Linked DNA regions of Caenorhabditis elegans. The protein of the gene in region 1 interacts with the protein of each later gene in a pairwise test. Each region holds a gene or a part of one and is shown in the gene's direction. Other genes may lie near its edges.

The links.
Region 2: the proteins of F20D1.3 (region 1) and ZC239.15 interact in a two-hybrid assay, tested with the Caenorhabditis elegans proteins (one large-scale study listed by BioGRID).

What each region holds. Positions count from the first base shown.
Region 1 is NC_003284.9:14,973,935-14,979,289, forward strand, and holds F20D1.3 (Protein Skeletor), read left to right. Parts: upstream 1-2,182; 5' UTR 2,183-2,183; coding exon 2,184-2,442; intron 2,443-2,495; coding exon 2,496-2,749; intron 2,750-3,184; exon of another isoform or gene 3,185-3,244; intron 3,245-3,593; coding exon 3,594-3,785; intron 3,786-3,831; coding exon 3,832-3,913; intron 3,914-3,970; coding exon 3,971-4,366; intron 4,367-4,411; coding exon 4,412-4,620; 3' UTR 4,621-4,779; downstream 4,780-5,355. Other genes in the region: tbc-1 (TBC1 domain family member 23), read left to right, coding at 205-470, 517-598.
Region 2 is NC_003280.10:3,222,813-3,227,008, reverse strand, and holds ZC239.15 (BTB domain-containing protein), read left to right. Parts: upstream 1-2,277; 5' UTR 2,278-2,365; coding exon 2,366-2,476; intron 2,477-2,521; coding exon 2,522-2,791; intron 2,792-3,104; coding exon 3,105-3,216; intron 3,217-3,258; coding exon 3,259-3,464; 3' UTR 3,465-3,676; downstream 3,677-4,196. Other genes in the region: ZC239.17 (Potassium channel tetramerization-type BTB domain-containing protein), read left to right, coding at 1,129-1,527; ZC239.16 (BTB domain-containing protein), read left to right, coding at 1,724-1,834, 1,883-2,239; ZC239.13 (BTB domain-containing protein), read left to right, coding at 4,195-4,196.

The sequences.
Region 1 (5,355 bases):
GAAATTTGGCAAACCCTTGACCGGAAATTATGAAAAATCTTTAAAAACTTTGTTCCGATCCCCCTAAAATCTTTAAAAAATTATATTATTTCCATGTTGTAGAATAACTTAACAATTTAAATTTTTGTGTTATAAAACGTGCATGATGCTTTTGAAATTTCGGCACAGTCATCAATTTTAATTTCTAAACCCATCTAGTTTCAGATTCTCCTGTCCAAAGAATTCACGGAAACTTTCGAGTGCCAAGAAGTATTCCGTGATGGAAGCATCAACGGCCACATTGCACTCACCCGTACACACATTTACGTGCTTCATGATGTACCAGGAAAACAAGGATACGTCACAACTGAAGCCCGCCACGCTCTTTCCACTGTTGTCGCTGTGACAAGTCGCCGGAGTGTTCCTGAGATGCTCACCTTTAAGTTGGGCTACGAGATGAATGGGTCCTCAAAAATTACTGCTGTTCACAAGTAAGAATTTATATCAGTTTTTATTGAAAACCGTATATTGTTTCAGATTATATGTTCCAAAAGCTGGTGAATGTGCAAAAGCAGTCAAGCTGGCAATTTACGCTCTTCGTCCACTTCCCGATGCATAATTCTCCAAAAAATAAAAATAAAACTAACGATGCTTTCCTTTCATGTGATTATAATTATACGTCATAATTTTGCTGGGTTTTCACTTTTTGCAAAATGTTGTAAAAACTGGGTACTAGCTTTCCTCTTACTGTAAGTAGTCTCTCGGGAATACTTCATATTTGAAAAAAATCACTTTATTTTGCCTGTGGTATCAAAAATTTATTAGACATGATGTAGTGATAACGGAATAAATATTTATGAATGTGTATTTCAAAGTTTTTTGGTTGTTTGAAAACATATTATATATTTTAAAAATGTTCGATTTCAAATGTTATTTTTGTGAGGTGTTTTGATAATGTTACTATGCATGTGTTTTAAAAGTACAGTGTCAATACGAGTGTTTTGTTTTATATTGACTGTGGCAAAAACTAACAAGCTTGCAAGAGGACAAATTGCAAAAACATGCTAGTTCACTTTTTAAAAAAGATAGTCAACAAATGGTTAGATTTTTAGATAGCTTTTGAACTTTTCAAAGTCCTACTTTAGGTCCCACCTACTTAAAGTCCCACATAGCACAGTCAAATGCGTATCTACTACCAAAACTCGTGAAATGATTGTGCTTTCTGCACACTACTCTTAAATATTCAAGCTTCTAAAATTTTAAACTTTTTAAGTGTGTTCATCTTTGGCAATCCATCATTCTCTACAGAAAAAGGGTTAAATTTGAGAAACTGATAAATAAAATGCGTTTACATTTAAATTTTTACAAATATTTTTTGAAGGTATTATTTTCCAACACAAAGTCAGTACGTTTTATTCATGATTTTTCATTTATTCTACATTTAACATTCTTTCAATATGTTCACAACGCAGTGTATTTTATTGAAAGAAATAATGTTTTCCCTCTATTTCACTATAGTATTTTGCCAGTAAACCTTTTGAAATGAAATTTATACACGTTATTCAAGCCTTTCGAAATCAGATTATTATGAAACTTTCTAGACTTTTCTCCCCTAGCAAAATATCTCCTCCGTCCTCGCACCCTCCTCCATCTCCCGGCAAACAATGACATCATTTTTCTTTTTCCTCGGTAACCCGCAGTGATCATCTTTTGATCGAAAATCTCTCAGTTGGACAAAACTTTAGTGTTCTTTTTTCTGAAAAATAATTCCACGTTCCAATAATGTTTGTTTCACAGATGTCGTTCTATCAAGGTGTTTTGTTTTAAGCACAAGGCATTAAAGGGATCGATAGGCAACAATTGCAAGTGCGCTCTAATAATTGAGCGCGCACAACACATACACACACACACACACACACACAAACACAACAACATGCTGACTCATCGTGCCTTTTCCTATTTTTCTCTCGTCGTTTATTCTTCAGTTTTTCGGCGCACGTCGTCTGTTTTAGGTCGTGGCTGGCTGGCTGGCTGGGGGAACCAGTTTTTCGTCGAAAAGAGGGCTGTTTAGATTTTGAATTTAGTTTTTGACCATTATCATTCTGATTACGTCGGTTGACCCCTTTTGTCCGATGATTTCCTTGTCTTTGCTTTGTTATTTTCCAACTTTTTGATTTTCAACACGAACATTTTAATCTTCCAGAATGCAAGTAAACAGTGAGGACATCACTGTCGCCTGGGGACAAGCCCCACATCCTCTCGACTCTCAGTACGGAAAATGGCGCATGGCAGTGTTCCAAGATGTGCAGGAGTCAATTGATGGCTCAAAGCTCTACTTCCTCTACGATCCACAGGCCGACGAGCAAAGTGGAACAAGTGGACAGAGAAAAGGATACCCAGGATTGATCATCTTTGATACCAACTTCAAATGCTTTGCTGGAGAGATTCCTGTTCACAGTCCAGGTATTCTTTTTTTACCGTTTTGCAATACAAATGATTTTCAACTTTTTTTTCAGGAAAAATGAAGTTCCTCTTCGCTCTTAAATGCCCATCTCCACAAGGCGGCTCTGCTTTCGTTCTCGTCACGGAGGAAGAAGTCTACGGACAAATTCGTCTTAACGTTTCTCGAATCGATTTGGCCCAAGACGGACTTTCAATCGCCAATGTTCGGCCTTTAATTCCCCAGGCATTGACTATTGGTGGAGAGTACATCTGCTCAATGCGTGAAGATCTTCCAGAAATTGTGGTTATGGCGAATCCAGGGCTTCAGGTGAGAAATGAGTGCGGAGCCTGATTGCATATGCTTCTGGCAAGCACCTGGCTTGAATTTGATTTATCACCTTTGTTATGTATTCGAGGCAAAACAAGGAGGCGAAGACGAGTAGTTTATTACATTACTAATGAATAATAGTTTGAGAGTTCACGTTGTACGATCTTCTTAGCCACGTCGTGGGTCACTACACTTCGATATCTCAACGTCACCTGTTTCCGGGTAGTCTGCGCGTTTGACTGTTTATTCTTAATTATGAAGTGATTGCCAAATTAGGGCCACGCAGGTAGCTTCCGCCTCCTGTTTTGTAAACTTTGGTGGTCCGAACACTTAACGTTCCTGGTGGCCGAGTGGTTTGCGTAGATGGCTTATGTGCTCAAGGTCGCGGGTTCGATTCTTTTGTGTGCTTAAATCCTTTGTTATGTTATTATAAGTAAGCGATCTTCTAGATGGTTGTAAAACATCGAGTATTACAACCACTGGAATTTCTCTATTACCTTTTTGGATGGGCAAAGTTGTAGTACTTGACTATAGGAAATGATTATGCCTGTTAGGGAGGATGTCTTTTCAGCAGGACGTCCTCAGCGGCAGGACGAGGACTGAAGGAGGAACGAGGAGGAGAAGACGAGTAGTTTATTATATTAGTACTAAACTAATTGTAAGGAATAAATAAGTTAGTTAGAGAGCTCACGTTGTACGATTTTCTTAGCCACGTCGTGGGGAAATACACGTTGATACCCAACAACTTTCATTCGAATAGGCCAATCGTAATGGAAAGTTTAACTAAAATGCATATTTTCGCATTCATAATTGCATATGCAGCAACTTAAGATTTTTTTTTCAGATTTGGCGCATCAACTGCATGGCCGAATCGTCTCAGCCACCTGTCGCCCAGTTCACAGTCCCCGGCGCCGACTTGAACCATTTCTACGATGGATTCCTTAACAATGGCAACATCGTCTTTTTGTCTGCAACCCCTGATGGTCATTTCGACAACACTCGCGTTCATCTCCTCAATTTGAACAGTCCTCAACACGTTAGTCAATTTGGAGAGCCAACCAGTATACTATTAGATATTTCAGATAACATCGCAAAATTGCTCTGGAGATCCACAGCGTGGAATGCCGATCCCGAGAAAGCAGTGTGGATTTGATTCTGTTACTAGTGAGTTTTAATTGTAAATATCAGTTAACGACAAATAACAACTGAATTTTCTTGCAGATGCAATTCTGATGGCCGGAGGAGAGGTTGACCGTGGCAGCGGTTTCGAGCGTCTTTTGGATTACTGGGTTCTCAATACTCAAACATTCCAGTGGCTTCAGATTCCATCTCAGATGCCGTGCCCACTTATCGAGCCTCGCCTCACTGCGTGTCACTCTGGAAATATTTACGTCTGGGGAGACTTTGATCAACCGCTTCCAGGAATGCCACCAAACGGAACACATCTTCGCATCCTCCGTGTTTCTGGTCTTGAGAAAGCTAGTCATCCACCAGCGTATTCCACATACAACCCAGCGCCGCCAGCATACCCATCTCTGGATGAGAAGTCTGGAAATCCGCCGTATCCTTCTAACCCATCCAACCAACCATACCCATCCAACAATTACGGAAATCAAGGCATAGTAGCGTGTAATGTTCAAAATCATAAAATATTGTTTTCAGGTGGTCAAGGACAAGCTCCTCCATACCCATCATACAATCCAAATCAGAGCAACTATGGAAACGCGGGCAACCAACAAGGCCCATCTCAAGATCAATACGGAAACGCCGGATATGATGCGAACCAGCAAGGCGGCTACACTCAAACCTCTGATGGACAGAATGCCTACTATCCAACTCAGAAGAAGAAGAAGAGCTGCAGCATCCAGTAAAATGTTTTATGCACCCTGAACTATCTGATCCTGGCCAATTGTTGTATATGTATATTTTTAATGACCTTTTTGATATTTATCCGAAGCCCTAAAGCAGCCCATTTTGTGATCCCGTTTAATACTCTGTACGCTAAAGCATAAATAAAGACGATGTGCCAAGAAGTGTTTATATTTCAATTTTTTAGTAGCGGCTAATTTTCACGCAAAAAAAATACCTTTGTTCACATTTTTCAAAATATTTTGGAACCCGTGTCGCTTGGCACTGCCTGCTCTCATTCTTTCACAGCTCTAAACGTCAATAGATACGCCATTTGTTATGAGAGAACGCAGAGAAAACGAAATAGGCGAAATAACGGGTTACATGCAAGAAGAGAAGAGCGCCCTGTTTAAACCGATGTCATTTTACTCATCAGTTTTGTTGGTTTTTTTCTAATGATTTTTTTTGAAGTTTGCTTTTATTGATAAATTGAATCAAAGTTCGACTTTTCTTAAAAGAATTAAAAAAAAACTGCTACTGCATTTATTTCATAGAAATGAAAAATCAATAAGAAAGAACCAGGAAGTAAATACATATAGGAATTGGTTTTTCCTTTTCCTTCACAATGAAATCTCTTTATATCTCACTATTTCGTTTATGTTACTGACTATGACAATGAATCAAGCAAAAGTAGAAAAAAACGAAACAACTGCAAATTGATAAGGAATTTAACGGTGAAACTTGAGAAATCACGAGAA
Region 2 (4,196 bases), on another chromosome or scaffold:
AAAGTGCGTGCTAGGAATTTTAGTAGGAACTTGTTAAAGAGAGTTTATCAAGTTTTGGCATTACCGAGAGCACCAGGAAGCTTGAAACAGACTTGAACATCAAAGATCGGAAGAATCAGAACCAGTCTGGAGATCCCACGAGAACATTTCGTATTAATTTTTTAAAGTCAAAACTGCTTATATGAACTCATTTCTAACTCAAACTTGATTTGAGCTTTGTCAAAAATTCCAAAATCTGTTGATTTTAGTAAAAATCGTGAAAAAAAACGGGGGGTCCTATAGAAGTTTCACACTGGATTTTGACGTTTTTTCCAGCGCGACCTCAGTTTTTGAGATAAACTTCTGGAAAAAAATTTATATAGGTTTTTTTCAATTTAAAAACGAACGGCATTAGCAGTTTTTCGAAAAAATTTTCGGAAGTTCCTCAAACCTTCAAATTAGGGGGGGTCCTATAGAACTTTCCCACACTGTATGATTATAAAAACAAAAAAAAATGAAGTTATAACCCCAATTTTAAACTGTAGTGTTTTGAAAATTTTTGGCAATTGGAATCTTCGGAAACTGCTGGTTTCAAAAAATATGGGAAATTTTTCAATTTTTTGTGAAGCTGCCAAAAACTTCAATTGCCGAAAAATTTCGACTGAGGTATTGCATTTTTTATTGGAAATTTTGAAATTTCAGTTGTAACTGCAAAATTACACGTATCTTACATGAAAAATGAGAAAAAATATATTAGAATTCTTGCTGAAAACGAGAAAAAATGTCAAAAATATGTGTCATCCGTTTTTTCTTATAAAAATTCCTTCAGAAATTTTGCACAATTTGCAAAAGCGGAAATCGGAAAGTTTTCTATACATGTCTTGAAAAAAACTCCACCGCCACTATTTCCTAAAATTTGTTAAAAATATAAAAATGGCTGTTAATTGCAAATCGATAGACTTACTGATAACAAAACTTCATCTCACTTTCTTCATTTCTCTTCCCCACAATTTTTTTAAAAACTCTCCAAAAAATGTGCGAAATTATTAAACTAGACGTTGGTGGAACTATATTCAAAACTTCAAAAGATACATTAACGAAACTCGATAGCTTTTTTAAAACTATGTTTGAAAGTGATATTGCGGTATAATGTTGCTGACTATATTTCTCCAAAAACCTGAACATTTTCAGCCGAAACTCGAAAAATCCGGATGCATTTTTATTGATCGTTCCCCGAAACACTTCGAGTTAATTCTGAACTTAATGAGAGATGGGAATCTGTGGTTGCCCGAAACTGAGAAGGAATTGAGAGAGTTGTGTGCGGAAGCAAATTACTATCAGATGTTTGGACTGTACAATAAGTGCGGTGTGAAACTTAGCACTATAATAAACTTCCGAATGATTCAAAATCAAAAACCAATAACTAAAAATAATAGTTATACTCGTTTTTTTGTTTTTTCATTAATTTTTTTGGTATTTGTGTATTACATCCCTGCACTAAAAAGCTATTTTATTGTTGAAAAATCTAGTAAATGCTACCTATTTTAGTGGCTATTAAACGCAATTTTCATTGTATTATGCTATCATAGAAATGTGAACAGACCCGAACGTAAACCTATTATAGTATGGAAAAAAATCAATTGAAAACACTGATAACTTCAAATCGATCGACTCACTGATAACAAACCTTCATTTCACTTTCCTCTTTTTCTCCTCTACAATTTTTTTCAAAAACTCTCCAAAAATGAGTGAAATTATTAAACTAGACGTTGGCGGAACTATATTCAAAACTTCAAAAGATACATTAACAAAGTTCCATAGCTTTTTCAAAACTATGTTGGAATGCAAAACTGGGGTATGAAAATCGTTGTTTTTTTCCAAAAAAAAACGTGAAAATTTCCAGCCGAAAATTGAAAAAACCGGATGCATTTTCATAGATCGGTCCCCGAAACACTTTGAATTGATTCTGAATTTAATGAGAGATGGTGATCTGCCACTGCCAGAAGATGAAAGAGAGCTGAGAGAATTGATGGCAGAAGCTCAATTCTACTGGTTGGATGGTCTAGTCTTAATGTGCTGTGATAAACTTAATTCTACAAAAAAGGTCCAAATTGATCAAAGAGCAAACACTAAAAAATATGATTTATCATGGTTTTTTGTTTTTTCAATAATTTTTTTGGTTTTAGTGTTTGTGTATTACATGCCTGCACTAAAAGGCTATTTTATTGTTGAAAAAAGAAATAAATGTTATCTTTTTTAGTTGTTGGAAATTTTAATTTTTGTTAAAAAAAATCATTTTGAAATATGTACTGATCGATAATCTTATAACTGATAACAAAATTTTACTCCATCTTTCTCTTTTTCTCCCCTAGAAAACTCTTCGAAAATGAGTGAAACTGTGAAATTGGACGTTGGTGGAACTATATTCAAAACTTCAAGATCTACATTAACAAAGTTCAATGGATTTTTCAAAACTATGTTGGAGAGTGACATTGGGGTCCGATTTTTCCAAAAATTTCCCGATAAATTTTCAAATTTTCAGCTAAAAATTGACGAATCTGGGAGTATTTTTATTGATCGGTCTCCGAAAAATTTCGACTTGATACTGAACTTTATGCGAGACGGCGACGTGGTTCTACCCAATTGTGAATTGAAACTGAAGGAGCTGCTAGTAGAAGCTCAATTCTATTTGCTCGACGGACTCATTGAGTTGTGCAATTCAAAGATTGAGCTTGTTGAAGCTCCAAAGATAAAACTTCGATTTATTGAAAGCGATGAACAATTTCTTCAAATTCTTGCTGTTCAACAGAAGGTGAGTTTCGATAAAATAATGTAGTTTTTCAAATTCATAGGAATATCTCAGTCGGTAGTGGTAGCTGCTAGAAAGCTAGAGGTTGCGGTTTCAAGTTTAGACTCATCCCCTAGGTTCACCCAGTCTGTATTGGAGAGTGGAGCAATCCATGACTGTATTATCGGCCACAGTCCCTGGCTAGGACGTGGCTTAAACTATAGGCCAGTGCAAGCTGTAGTCCTAATAGTAAGGCCACACTGTATGGCGTTTGTCAATCATAAAATAATTAACCAGTTTCTTCAAAAAATTTCAGCTCTACATATAATTTTTACAGCCAATGCTCATAATTGAATTTTGCATGGTTGGGAATGATATGTCGATTCCCTATAACTTTAATCTTTACGAGTTCATGGAAAAGTATTCACATCAGTTCGATATTTATTTTCGTAAGTTTTTTGTACATTATCCTCATAAAATAGTCAATTCAGAGCGATTGAGTGAAGACGAACCTTCTCGCAAATGGAAAGCAAGGATAAAATGGAAACCTACTGAGAATGGATATTACAGTCAATTTCCACACAATCTTCGAATTAATCGAGGTGGACGGATAATACGGGATGCAACATTTTTGGAACGATTGGAAAAAATGATCGGGGAGTTTGATGAGTATTTGAAGAAGCAGAGGAATAGATAATTAACTTATTTTATGGATTTTTCGACAATATTTCTAATTTAGAAGCTTAAAAAATTATAATTTAGTAAGCTTGTTTTTTTATCTTTAAACACAAAACACATGGATAAGTTCAAAGTCTGATTGATAACAAACATTCTTATTTTTATTTTTTGAGTTTGGTTGCATCTGTGCCTCAAACCGTAACTATTTTAAAATATGAACAAGGTTGTTAAACTAGACATCGGCGGAACTATTTTTAAAACTTCAAGACCGACATTAATAAAATGTGATGGATTATTCAAAACTATGTTTGAATGTGAAAGGGTCTGATTACCGTAATCGATTAAGAGCGATTGAGTGAAGACGAACCTTCTCGAAAATGGAAAGCTAGGATAAAGTGGAAATCTACCGAGAATGGATATTATAGTCAATTTCCGCACAATCTTCGAATTAATCGAGGCGGACGGATAATTCGGGATGCAACTTTTTTGGAAAAATTAGAAAAAATGATTGGGGAGTTTGGTCAATATTTGTATTTGGAGAAGCAGAGAAAGAGATAATTAACTCATTTTGTGGATTTTTTGACAATATTTTCAATTCAGAAGTTTTTTTTTATTTCTTAACATTTTTGATTTTTTTGTAAAAAAAAAAACAAAATTTCGCAACACTGATAATTCAAAATCGATCGGCTCACTGATAACACAATTTCACTCCGTTTTTCTCTCTTTTTCCTCTCAAAAACTTTTCAAAAAT